Linked DNA regions of Coturnix japonica. The protein of the gene in region 2 purifies or fractionates together with the protein of the main gene of each other region. This does not show direct contact. Links are inferred from orthologs where the notes say so. Each region holds a gene or a part of one and is shown on either strand. Other genes may lie near its edges.

Region 1 (4,202 bases), on a different chromosome or scaffold from region 2:
CAGCCCAGGGCTTTTATGTGGCTCCTGCACCCAAGGGCAGGGAGTGTGGGTGGAGGCCCCCGGTGAGGCTGATTAAAGTCATTAAGGGCCATTACTTAAAGCCATTAAGTCCCATTAAGGAAACTGTGAGCCTTAATAGCTCCTTCTTTGGATAGGTAACCAATTTTGTCTTTGGCAGGACATCATGTTACACCACCAAAAGCACCCTCCTATTGCAAAGGCTGTAACAGCAAGTAAAGTACAGAGAAAAACCCACAATATCACATGAGCTGAAACGTTAAAATGTATTGACAGCAAACAAAAATAGTGTGCGTGTACAGAATATTATGGGGCCAGATCTGTTGATCACAGCAGCCTGTCTTTCAGACACCAAAGCACTGTGAAAGGTGGAAAGGAAAAGAGCGACTTTTCAAATACCTTTTTATTTGTTGGTTTGTTTTTGTTGTTTTTTTTCACCTGAAGGCCTCACCTCCCAGCCTGCCTCAAAGCACTGCCCCGGGCCTATGACCAAACCCAACGGGGGGATGGATGCCATCCATCCCTGTGCTAGTTTTGCTGGGAGGGCTGACCAGGGCAATGCCCATGCTTTGTGGTTTGAGATAGCAGCATAGAGGTCTTATTTAATGGAGAGCAGGGTAGGAAGGGGACCTCAGACTGCTCCTTTGGATGCCTGTGAGTAAAGAGGTGCCTGAGGGACTCAAATATCAGAAGGGAAGCAGGACGGTGGGCAGTCAGCTGCATCTGGTTCTCTCCCACGGAAGTGTTTTGCTTGTGAGCAGTGCTGAAGGAAGCCAGAGAGCATCTGTAGCACTTCTGGAAACACCAAAAAAAAAAAAAAAGCAGAAGAAAGAGTGAGACTTCTGCATTTGCCCTTTGATGACCGTGTCTATGGAGAAGGCTCTTCATGCCCTACTAGGGGCAGTTATCTACAGCCGTCACTGGTGGTGGACGAAGAAGCCATCCTCTTGTCATTTTTAGCACTCTCTTCCCATCACAGAGGCCTGTCCCGCCTTCTCTCAGCTTTCAGGCATTAAAATACAGTCACAGAATCACAGAATGACCCGGGTTGGAAGGGACCTCAAGGATCACGTAGTTCCAACCCCCCTGCCTGGCAGGGCCACCAAACATACACCTTTACTAGATCAGGTTGCCCAGGGCCCAGTCCAACCTGGTCTTGAACACCTCCAAGGACGGGGCATCCACAACCTCCCTGGGCAGCCTGTTCCATGGTCTAACCACTCTCCTAGTGAAGAACTTCCCCCTAACATCCAACCTAAATCTTCCCTCTTTTAACTTAAAACCATTTAAAACGAGATCGGACGTCAGCGATGGGTTTGTCGCGCCCGCCCTCTCCGCCGTAGCGCGCAGGGAGGGGCGGCTCAGCCATCTTGGTGTCGCCGGGCCGTGCGTGCGGGCGCAGGGAGGAGGAGCGTCCGCCTTGCGGAAGTGCCCTCGCCCCCTGAGCCGGAGCCGAGCGGAGCCGGAGCGCGCCCAGGGCTGCCCGCCGTCCCCAGCACCGTCGCTACCGAGGAGCATGGCAGGGCGGCTTCCGGCCTGTGTGGTGGACTGCGGCACGGGGTGAGCGCCGCTGACAGCTCGGAGCCGGTGGGGAGGGGCAGCCGCCGCCGCCGGAGATGGCGGCGAGGGGCGTGCGGTGGTACGGGAGGGCCGGGCCGGGCGGGGTAGTAGCGCTGCCCGCTCCCCATCCGCTGTTGGAGGGGAGGCCGCGGGGGGCTGTGCCCGCTGCCCGCAGCGCTGAGGGCGCGGTGCTTGGTGCTGATGGAGCCCCGCTGAGGGCGGTGGTCCATGCGGAGCGCTGCGCTCGGAGCTGCCGCCCGGCCGCGTGTTCGTGGCGGTGATTTTTTCATGTCATTTATTCTGTGTTACTTCTATCAGTGAAACGGGGGGAAAAAAAAAAAAAGAAAAAGAACCCCTCCCCCGCCAGTGAGCAAGCGCAGAGGAACTTCCTTAGTTTTGTCAAAGCCTCTTCCTGCTTTCAGGCTTTTATACCTTATAAGGCAGTTTTTTCAGTGTCAAACCTGAAGCAAATCCGATTTAGAAACTCTTCTTTTTTTATTTAGCAGCGCGTCAAAAGGTGAAGAGGATGGGATGCCGGCGATGTGCTGTGTGAAGCACGGCCCTGTGGGGTGGGAGCCCCGGGGGTTCGGCCCCTCCAGCCCTATGACGGGGGCTGGGTGCCCTGCAGAGCTACAGCACGGCCTGGGTGCTGCTGGGGGTCACTGGGCTGATCGCAGCAGTGCTCAGGAAGTGAAAACCACATCGCAGCCGCTCTCTGTAGTGCGGTTATCCAGATAGAATGGTTCATTTGAGCCCTTCTGCACTGGGTTCTTATTGGGAAGAGAAGTACCGGTGTATGGGCTGAGCTCTTCCTCTTTGACTAGCGCTGGTGGTTCTGAAACTTGGCTTTCTGTTTTGTTTCTCATCCGTCTTCCTGCAAGTAATGGGGGAAGTTTCTGGGTGAATGCAACCTAGGGGTAGAAATTAACAGTCCACTTCATATATATATTCATCTGGAACTGAAAGCACATCCTCGTCTTCTCTACCAGAGAATCCATTTGGTTTAAGACATTAGTAAGTCTCATGCAAGAAGAGTAGTATCTATGTAATGTCTATATGTTTAACATTTGTGTGAAGAAGTCTTGTTTGTAGTTAGAGCAAGAGCAAAACTTGCGCATTTTGTGGGATAAACACAGCAGGAATGAGAGCGTGTGGTTGCATGTATTGGAAGCATACAGGCATCATATGATGCTTTGGCCTCTTCTCCCAGGCAGTGAGCAGTAGAATGAGATGTGACAGCCTCACGTTCTGCTAGTAGAGGTTCAGGTTGGGTATTGGGTAGCTTCTTCTCAGAAAGAGCGATAATGAATTGAAATGGGCTGCCCTGGGAGATGATTGAGCCAAGAGCTGTGGAGATTTGCTGCCGAGTGACATGGTTAGTGGGCATGGTGGGGAGGGTTGAAAGTAGAGGTTGTAATTGCTAGAGTCAGGCAATTTGATCAGAGCTTCCAGTGATGCTAGCCAGAAGCAGCGCAGCAGAATTCAGCTGTGCAAGGAACCACACAGTTCTCTTGATGTGAGAGGCTTACCGAGGGACCTGAATGTTAAGAACATATCTTCCTGGAGAGTCAGCACGTAAGTGCGCCATTAGTCAACCTCATTGTGCAGGACATGCTCTAATGTTCTGTTATGTGCTGCTGACCACATCTCCCTACTTTATTTTGTTCTTCAGAGATCTCTCCGATGTGCTGTTTTACCATCGGTCTGCGTTACTTTGAAAATGGTTCTACTACTACTTCTGTTTCTGATGCATCTCATAGTGCCAGGTTCCCCTTTCTTGAAGTTCCGTTGTGCTGAATTGTGGATGGAGACTTGAACTTTTGGAAGCTGACGGAGAATTTGGCATGTTAGAATGTCAGTAGGTGAAGATGTGAAGTGGTCAATTAACAAAATGAACTCCTGAGACAAAGGGGAAACTAGCATGGAAAAGGATGGAGTGAAGTAGTAGTAGTGAAATAGGATGTGGTAGCATAATCGCAATGACTGCTTCTTCCATTGCACCCCTCCCTGTTCCATCTCATTTGGTGTGTATAAGCAAGGTTGTTACTCACGCACTATGTGTATGTGCTCTGTGCAGATCACCTGAGGTCTCAGCTATGGCATTGTCTCTTTGATTTTGGTAGGCAAGACAAGTTAGAGAGAGACACTGAGAACAAGGGGAGAGACTTAGGAAGTATAACCAATACAAAAAGGTTGAAAGGAACTCTTGTTAAGAGCAGGCAAGATTTTTGTGCCCAAGTTTTCCAATAATTACGGGATGTTTTGGAGAGCAGATCTTCCTGCATGTCATTCATGCATGTAGGTATGGGTTCATCTGGTGCAGTTTGAGATGAGTGGTTGGTGTGTTTTCTTTTTTACCAGCTAATGTTGAGGGGAAGGAGAAGGGTGAGGGGGGGGGCACTTGTGCTTCTCAGCATCAGCCTGCACAGATTTAGCCATATGTTAAGAACCCCTTACAAAGCATGAAGGGAACAGAGCACAGAAAGGGTTAGGGAGAGAGCGCCCTACCTGTTCTCTGATGTTTTAACAGTCAGATGTTTTAGGGACGGTCCAGGTGCACGTCATGCAGCTGGAGCTGGCAAATGGGTGAAGTCAATGGCATTGGCAGTCAGATTATGGGTGCA
Region 2 (4,014 bases):
TCCTCACCCTACTACCCCCAATGGACATGAGAGAACAAATCGTCCCTTCCCTCATGGCAGCATCCTTTTATCTATTTGAAGACTTACGTCTGTGGCTCTGTTCCCTCCAGCTCTGTAACAGTCATGTGTTCAAAGACTGAGCATTATTTTTACCCTTTTTCCTCTAAATCACACACATTTTGCTCACATGGAGCCCAGCACTGGACACACCGTTTTAGCACAGCTCAGCATGGCAGGATGCCTGTATCCTATTAGCACTATACAGACCTGCATGGCATTCACTGCTCTAACAGCAGGACATTGCTATTCAGCTTGCAGCCCACAGCAGCTCCTCCATCCCTTCCTATAACACACAGCTGCCTTTCCTAACACCAATACAACCAGCCCCACAGTTATAAGCACACAGTACTACCTGATGCTTTTTCCCATTGAGTTCCCCTCTTTGCATTCTAGCCCTCTGACAGTGCATTAATACAAGCTCAGACTTGACCCCATCTCCAAACACAGCAATTACAGGGGCTGTTTCATTATAAATGAATAATGGACCGAAGGTATTTCCCCAGACAAGCGCTGACACCAAGTACATTGTACCCCAACCAGCTCTACCATGCTGGACACAGCTTGCCTTGCTCCCTCCATCCACCGAGGCACAGCATGCCCCCCTCACACAGCCATAGAGCCCTCTTACACCTATAGACCCCCCTCACACAGCCATAGACCCCTCTTACACCTATAGACCCCCTTCACACAGCCATAGACCCCTCTTACACCTATAGACCCCCCCCTCACACAGCCATAGAGCCCTCTCACACCTATAGACCCCCCTCACAAGCCAGCACAAAGACGCCTCTTTACACTCTTACTATAACTTCCCCTCTCAGCACCTATAGGAGCCCCTCAACACAGCTATAGACCCCTCAACAACAGCCCATAGACCTCTACACCTATAGACCCCCTCACACAGCCATAGAGCCCTCTTACACCTATAGACCCCCTCACACACAACGTGAAGCCCCCCCCATCTGTGCCACATCCCCACACTGCGCATGCGCCCCCAACCCGCCCGCCGCCTTTGTGTGCGGCACATTCCTCCCTCCCCCCCGCGCATGCGCACAACGCCTTCCCGTCACGCCCCGACACCCCCCTCCCCGTCAGCATGGCGCATGCGCATCCCGCGGGGTTGGCCGGCGGGCGGCGCGCATGCGCAGTGCGCGTTTCCTGGCTCCCTTGTCAGTGCCGGGCCGCCCCCCTTTCCCACCCCTCCCCTCGGCCGCCGCCGCCGCCCGGAGCGGAGTCGCGTTGACTGCCCAGAGTCCGCGAGCCCCGCTCCGCCCCCGCAGCCTCAGGTGAGTCCCGGCCCCGACCGAACGGCTGGCCGCCCTCAGGCCCAGCTGCTGAGGGGGCGGCGGCTCTGCAGCACTCAGCCGCGGCCTGCCCGCCGTGCGGGGCCCGTACCCGGCCCTGTGCTCATAGAGGGGCGGGTGGGCCGGGAGAGGGGGCGGCGGGGCAGCTCCGTCCTTGTCCGCACCGCACAGCGGCCTCAGCACCGGGCACCTGTGTGGGACGGCACCGCCCGGCTGAGTGCGGCCACCGCCCCGACGGGAACGGGCCGATATGACAGCGGGGGGAGGCAGCGATCAGTCACAGGCAGCTCTGGAAATAGGCAGAGATTTACAGCAGCTCTCACACTCACACTGTCTGTAATTTGGAAGCATCTCCTCGCTGTCTCCTTACCTCGTGCTTCTCGAGAGGTGACAGCAGCTCAGTCCTGGGCTTCTCAGGGCTGAGTTTCTGAGGGGCTGTGTGGGTGAGCAGGAGGAATTTTGGCACCCTGCCCTTAAAAGAAAATATTGAAACAAGGACAATTAGTTTGCATTTGAAAGGAAGCTCTATCTACCTAACAAAGTTACCTTGACAGTGCCTTTCCTATGTTAAATCCTGAGCTTGGCAGACAGGAGAACACTGTGGGGTTTATGCTGTATTGGTTACATCAAGTCATTCAGCCACTGATAAGAAATAAATCTTCATAAGATCTTACAAACAGTATTTATCTCCCCAAAGGAAATAATATTGCAACGATCAGATGGCAAATATTTGTGCTCTTTGAGATTGTCATCACTGTTCTTTCTTAATGAACATTACCTGCTTGCTGTGAGTTGTGGTGCTTGAGAAGGATGAGGATGCATCATGTCCCTTGTCCAGCTGTAAGCTTTGGGAACAGCCTGTAGGTTAGTGAGCAAAACAATCTCTGAACTAGGAGCTGTTAGGATGGGACAGCAGTGTTTGTACAGGGAGCCAATCTGTGCAGAAAGCACGAGGACTGCATTAGAAATAGCTGCATTCTTCAGGCAGCAGAGATTGGATAGTTTTACTTTGTATTTGGAAAGAATCAAAAAGGCTGAGCATTCCCTGTTGGTAGAAGAGCTCGTCAGCTTTTCTTGTATATGGAAATGCACTGCTACTGAATTGCTGGCATGTATTAAAGCAAGACTGGGGAAAAAGCAATTTGCTGTGATGTTTTGCTTATGTTAATGCATGGAATCTCACACCATAGCTGCCCAAGGTCAGAGGTAACTTGGATCATGGCAGTTCTCTCACATTAATAAAAATAAGTAATTATTCTTCTGAGGGCTGTACTCAAATAGCAGCTTTATGTGATCTTTAGCATATGATTATTAGAAGAAAATTAGAACAGTTACAATTATGAACTGGACTTAAAATGAAGTTCAGCTAAATGAGCTTTGAGTACATTTAATGACACTGCAGATCATGGCTTTCATATATAATATAGATTACTATATATATATATATATGAACAGTGCTGCATCATCTCTACTCAGGACTTTAGGCATATTTCTTAAAGCAGGGGAGTGCTCAGCTCTGTAAGGGGTTACTCATCTCTCATTCACTCCTGAGTTTCTGTGGGACTGCCGTTCATTTCCTGTTTGCTTCCAAATTCCTACCTTGTCCTGAAGTCTCCACCCTCTGCTAACATGGCCATACTTGGCTATGTTGTAATTTCAGGCTGCGATGGGTGTGGATGTCTTGGAGTGACATCACAGAGATGGTGCTTTTTAGATGTATGCAGTGGGGCAGACCGACAACGTGCCATCAGCCATGGATAAATTGCTACAAAAGTTTGTTTAATATGTGAAAGGAGGAAGAAATGGACAAATCCAAGTTGTGTGTGTTGAGCTGTGCACATTGCAGCTGTTGCAGGTGACCTTGAGTTGTTACAGTGCTACCTTCCATCCGTTTATGCTGTCCTTGATTAACACAGGACACAGAAATAAGATCTGATATATTAAACAGCTTCGCAGTCACCTGTTTGCACTGTCTCTTTCATAAGAGAAAAGAAAAAACTGGGTGTCTCACTTTGTATGAAACAAAGCATTCACAAACCCAAAGAATTCAATTTGATCTTTTACTGTTTGAGTCTCATAAGGATGGAAGCCATAAAGCAATTAATTGTTAGGATTAATTTGAAGGAATTAGTAATTAATTACTGATGTTAGTAGTTTTTCCCTGGGATACACATAAGTAGTTTTATCAAGCAACACATCAGCAGATTACAGTCACATCTGAGCACATCAGCTTAACCTCCTGATGGATGGAAAAGAAAAAGGCTTCATTGAGGCTCACAGCACTACAATACACACCAGAATGTCAAATCAGTTCACTGAGACATCACTGAATTTCTTATTTAAGTATTCTAATTCCCCAGTTAAATTCTTAGGTGTGTTAATTTCATAAGAACCTGTTTCCTCTTATGAGGATACAGGAAGAAACAAGTGCATACACCTTTTAGAGCAATTCATTGACCTACTAAAGATCTTGGGGCACACAGGGAAAGGTCTTAATTACAATGACACATGCACAGTAGATAGATCATCATAGTGGACTGAAGCAGCCTTTGTAGATGTTCAAGACCGATTTGTTTTTATAACTGTTCAACTTTGAAGTGCTTTGTTGTCATTTTTACATCTTTACGTTTTTTTTCCCCCCCCCCAACTT
Region 3 (4,260 bases), on a different chromosome or scaffold from region 2:
GCCACAGCCAGGTTGAGCAGGTAGATGTCGGTGACGGAGCGGTTCATGTGGCTGGAGGTGACCACCAGCACCACCAGCCCGTTGCCCACCATGCTGAGGAGGAAGACCAAGCAGTAGATGAAGGCTACGAAGTATTTGTTGGCTACAGAACCTTCATTACGGCATGGGGAAGAGGAGACATCGATGTCAGGCAGAACCAGGCTGTAGTTGCCATAGTCAGAAGTGTAGTTGTATAAGATATCGAAGAGTTCATCGGCGTAAAATGTCCCCATTTTGCCTGCAAAGCACAAAGCAACGTGGGCTCAGGGCACATCCAGCACTTCCAGCCCCCATTGCTCTCCCACACCCCATAACCTCACCACACCATACAATGAACAGGCTCATGCCTGAAAACTATCCCCATACGTCCTCCTGCCCAACAGCCCCGTGTGGACTGCTTCACCTCAGCACTGTCCCCTCCAGGTTCAGCCCCAATGAAGGATCCCTCCTGAGTCCCTCCGGTTGGTGTGAGTCCTTTGAATCCTGATGTCCTCCCCAAAAACCCTTCTCACACCAGCTCCCCGAGTGCACCACAGTACCCAGAGCAGAGGAAACACGCTTCTCCCCACTATATTTTTGGCTTCTCCTTCCGATTCCCCACCCAAATTCCCTGCAGTTCCTATGGGGACAGATTTCTGCCCACAGAAGGGGAAGTCTCCATTTCCTCCCTGGACCCCACGCAGAAAACTACTTGGGGACATCAGCTCCCCCCAGGGTTGGGGTTACCCTACGTGGAGCTCAGATTATGCTATGCAGAGCCCTCCCTGCACCCCTTGCCCAGGTAAGCAGGGTGCCCCATGGCACCCCATAGCCAAGCATCCCACGCACTCACCGCCTCTGCTGCACCCCAAATCTTCTCCCCTTCCCAGCTCCAAGCCCGGCTGAGGTCTGCCACGGGATGTTACCCCAAAACGGAGACCCTGGGGAGCACGGGGACGTGCCAGCAGGTCCCACACCTGCACCAAGTGAGCCAGGCTCAGAGCTGGCACTGCCGCTTTATGCAGCGCAGGGAGGAAGCAAGGTTGCAAAACCTTCTGCAGCACGAAGAGGAAGCGGCAGCAGAGGGGACACCTTCCCTGCACCCCCAGCCCAGGGCACAGCACACCCGCTTTGCACGGCTGGGGGGGGTTCGTGGGGCTCTGCTGGCCATGGGGCTTCACCCCATCCCTATGGGTGCTCCGGGGACACCCCATATTATCCTGGGGCGCTCTCACATCATTAGTATAACGCTGGGGGGGCACTGTAGGGACTCCATCATCACACATAGGGACTCCATCATCCCACACAGGGACTCCATCACCCCACATGTAGGCAGTCCCCATTCCGGCTCACCCCACCATTCCCCCTTCACACCCCACATTCACTCCCGACCCCCATCATGTAGGCGGTGTGTGTTGGGGGGGGGCGGGACGAGCCCGGAAGTGACGCGCGGGCTCGAGAGCGGAAGCGGCGGCGCAGGCTCGGGCGGGTCCCCGGTGCGCGCAGCGGGCTCGGCTCCCTCCGGCCTCGGAGCGCTGAGAGCCGGTTCCCCAACCCCGGTACCGACATGATCCTGCTCGAGGTCAACAACCGTATCATCGAAGAGACCCTCACGTTGAAGTTCGAGGGCGCGGCCGCCGGGTAGGGCAGGGAGATGGGTCGGTGAATGAGGCCGGGGCGGGGCGGAGGAGGAAGCGTTGCGGCCTAGTGAGGCCTGAGGGAGGGGAGGGGGATAAGGAGCTAAGGGATAATGTCTATGGGAGAGGCGTGGGAGGGGCGGGTGGCACCGAGCTGGGCCTTGGGTGTGAGGTATGACAGGGCAATGGGGACATGGGGTGGGGCCGGCAAGGGTGGAGGGGGCTGAGGTGGTGGGACTGAGTGGATGAATGGAAGATTGTGTGAGGCCAGGCTCCATGGGGTGCTTAGGGCTGGGATTAGGTGAGAGTGATGGAGCTTGTGGTGTTGGGGTGTGCCATTGGGATGGGAGGTGTTGGCAGGGTCAGAGGATCCGCTTGTCCTGGCTGCTGGCATAGGGCTGCTGAGCATCTTGGCTTTGTGGAGGTTGTAGGGCAGTTGATCTGCACCTGTATCTTTGGTCTGGATCATATAGTCCCCGGGGAGCCACTGAGTGTTACTGACAGCAGCGCTTCAGTGCTGGGAAGATATTGTCTGAGCATAGTTCAGCTTGAGACAGTCATCTCACGTGAATGCCCTTATCTGCAGCCATGCAATCTCCAGAAAGAGATGCTGCCTTAGTGGTGGTCAGCCCTTAAATGGGATCTAGGAGACGTGGAGTCAAGCTCCACCCCTTCCAGGAGCACAGCTGAATTACCTTCACCTGTGCTCCCACAGCTCCCACTGTGCTGCCTTGTGGGATCACCACGCTGCTCTCTTCCCTGCCATCAGCCTCTTCATGTGATTATTTAGTGCAACATATCCCCAAAGCACCACACTGGGAGGAGAGAGCTCTTGGGTGCTGCATTTTCCATTAGGAAAAAAACCTGAAGTATCTGGAGGTTAATAGTGTGTGTCAAAAAACACTCGTTCACCACAAGCTCATATGGAGGCGTTCTGCTGGTGGGAGCCTGTGTGCGTGTCCCTGCATCAGTCCAAGTGCAGCAGCAGCAGTGAATGGAGGATGCAGCCATCAGGAGACTGAGTGCAGCTCAAAGCCCTGACTCAGTGCAGCTAGAGCTGAGGTTACTCACTCACCTCCAATCTACAATGTTTCCATTTTGCTGTACAGCAAAGCTTGTTACTGCCTCAGCGTGCTTGCCTGGCATACCAATCCTTCCTGGATCAATTTGCTGTGAGTGTGGCCAATGATATTCTGCCTCTTGTTCTATGGGCCGTCCTTTCTTTTGCATAGAAGACCAGCTAAGTGCTCCTTCTGGATGAGTGTTGCACCCTCAGAATGTTGCTGGAGGGGAGGAAGTAATTCACTTCTGCATTTTCTTCTGTGCTTGTGCTGTTCTGCTGTCCAGGAAAGAACAAGGCATGGATGAAGGTCAGAGATGAAACCAAGGAAAATGGAAATCTACTTCTCTGAACAAGTCTTTTTGGGTACTGGTGCTATGCCATGCCATGTTTATTCATGAGATATTTCTTTTCCATCCAGCTGGTGTTCCAGGGTCATCCTGTGGCATTGAGCTTGAAGGCAGGAGGGGATTTGCTCTGTTTGGGTGACCGTCAACCCAAGATGTGTCCTGGGGATGGACCCAGGGTGGTCAGGGCAAGGACACACTCCAAGGGATTAAGTGATTGAGAGGAGTAAGTCACTGTGAGCTGACCCTGAGTTATCTGCCCTGCAACTTGAATTGTGCAGATGTGATGCACAGTTTATCTAAACTTGCTCCATGATGTGGGCACTTCCCTCTCCTTCTGTGACTGTGCCATGGATCCAGCAGCTCCCTGAGCTGAAAGATTAGTCTGTCAAAGTGCTGAAGTGGGGGAATACCTGGGAACAATAACCTATTTTCAAGGTAAAACATTTCTGTCTCCTGTGTTCACTTCTTTTTAAAGCACAGCAGAGAACTACCCCCCCAAAACAGATTTGCCCTCCAGTTTTGGTCCACTCTGATCCCAGCCAAACTGTAGCAGAGGGCTTGTGTTCTTAGGTATGGTTCTTCAGCCTTACATTGCTGGCAGTTTAGGGCAAGCTAATTAATCATCTGTCTCAAATTGGTACTTACTGTTTACCTGCTGTGCAGGAGAAGAAATTGCATAGGTGGAGAACAGTGTGATTTTTCCCTTGGTTGGAGGTGGAGGGGAAACATATCTCATTCAATGTTAGGTTTCTGTAAAGCTTTCAATAGGGGCAAATTTGCAGGGTTTCATGAGTGCTGGTTGAATGGGAAAACAGCTGAAGCTTCAACTTCTGTGCTGTAAACCAGTTCCTGTAGGCTGCTTGGAGAGTTTGGCTGCAACTGCATCCACATCCTCTGTGGTATTTCCCATTTGTGGTCCCTGTGGTGCTCACCTGCTCTGCAGTGGAGTGCTCTGGCCTTGCTGGGTGAAGGTGGGTGATACGAACTTTGTGCTGCCAGTGCTGCCTGGGAGTGACTTCCTTGTGGGGTAGCTGGGGACAGCACAGGGATGGAGGAGCTCAGGCAGCCCAGCATCTGCAGAATGGCCAATCCTGGAGCAGGTGAGAAGCGTTCAGGTGATGTTTGCACTTTGGGGTTCGGTGCAGGATCAGCAGCACCTCCTGCAGCTGCCGCGTTTGGTGCAAGACAAGAGCAG

The links.
Region 1: the proteins of ARPC1A (region 2) and ACTR3 purify together in Homo sapiens (affinity purification with mass spectrometry; 7 studies listed by BioGRID and IntAct, counting the BioPlex papers as one, with this or other methods). This does not show direct contact. The link is inferred for Coturnix japonica from reciprocal best matches to the Homo sapiens genes ARPC1A and ACTR3.
Region 3: the proteins of ARPC1A (region 2) and ARPC2 purify together in Homo sapiens (affinity purification with mass spectrometry; 8 studies listed by BioGRID and IntAct, counting the BioPlex papers as one, with this or other methods). This does not show direct contact. The link is inferred for Coturnix japonica from reciprocal best matches to the Homo sapiens genes ARPC1A and ARPC2.

What each region holds. Positions count from the first base shown.
Region 1 is NC_029522.1:26,881,521-26,885,722, reverse strand, and holds the start of ACTR3 (actin-related protein 3), read left to right. Parts: upstream 1-1,401; 5' UTR 1,402-1,534; coding exon 1,535-1,578; intron 1,579-4,202. UniProt on the Homo sapiens protein: ATP-binding component of the Arp2/3 complex, a multiprotein complex that mediates actin polymerization upon stimulation by nucleation-promoting factor (NPF).
Region 2 is NC_029529.1:4,392,677-4,396,690, forward strand, and holds the start of ARPC1A (actin-related protein 2/3 complex subunit 1A), read left to right. Parts: upstream 1-1,213; 5' UTR 1,214-1,346; intron 1,347-1,734; exon of another isoform or gene 1,735-1,836; intron 1,837-2,142; exon of another isoform or gene 2,143-3,055; intron 3,056-4,014. UniProt on the Homo sapiens protein: Probably functions as a component of the Arp2/3 complex which is involved in regulation of actin polymerization and together with an activating nucleation-promoting factor (NPF) mediates the formation of branched actin networks.
Region 3 is NC_029522.1:24,164,776-24,169,035, forward strand, and holds the start of ARPC2 (actin-related protein 2/3 complex subunit 2), read left to right. Parts: upstream 1-1,459; 5' UTR 1,460-1,585; coding exon 1,586-1,659; intron 1,660-4,260. Other genes in the region: C-X-C chemokine receptor type 1-like, read right to left, coding at 1-277, 872-1,361. UniProt on the Homo sapiens protein: Actin-binding component of the Arp2/3 complex, a multiprotein complex that mediates actin polymerization upon stimulation by nucleation-promoting factor (NPF).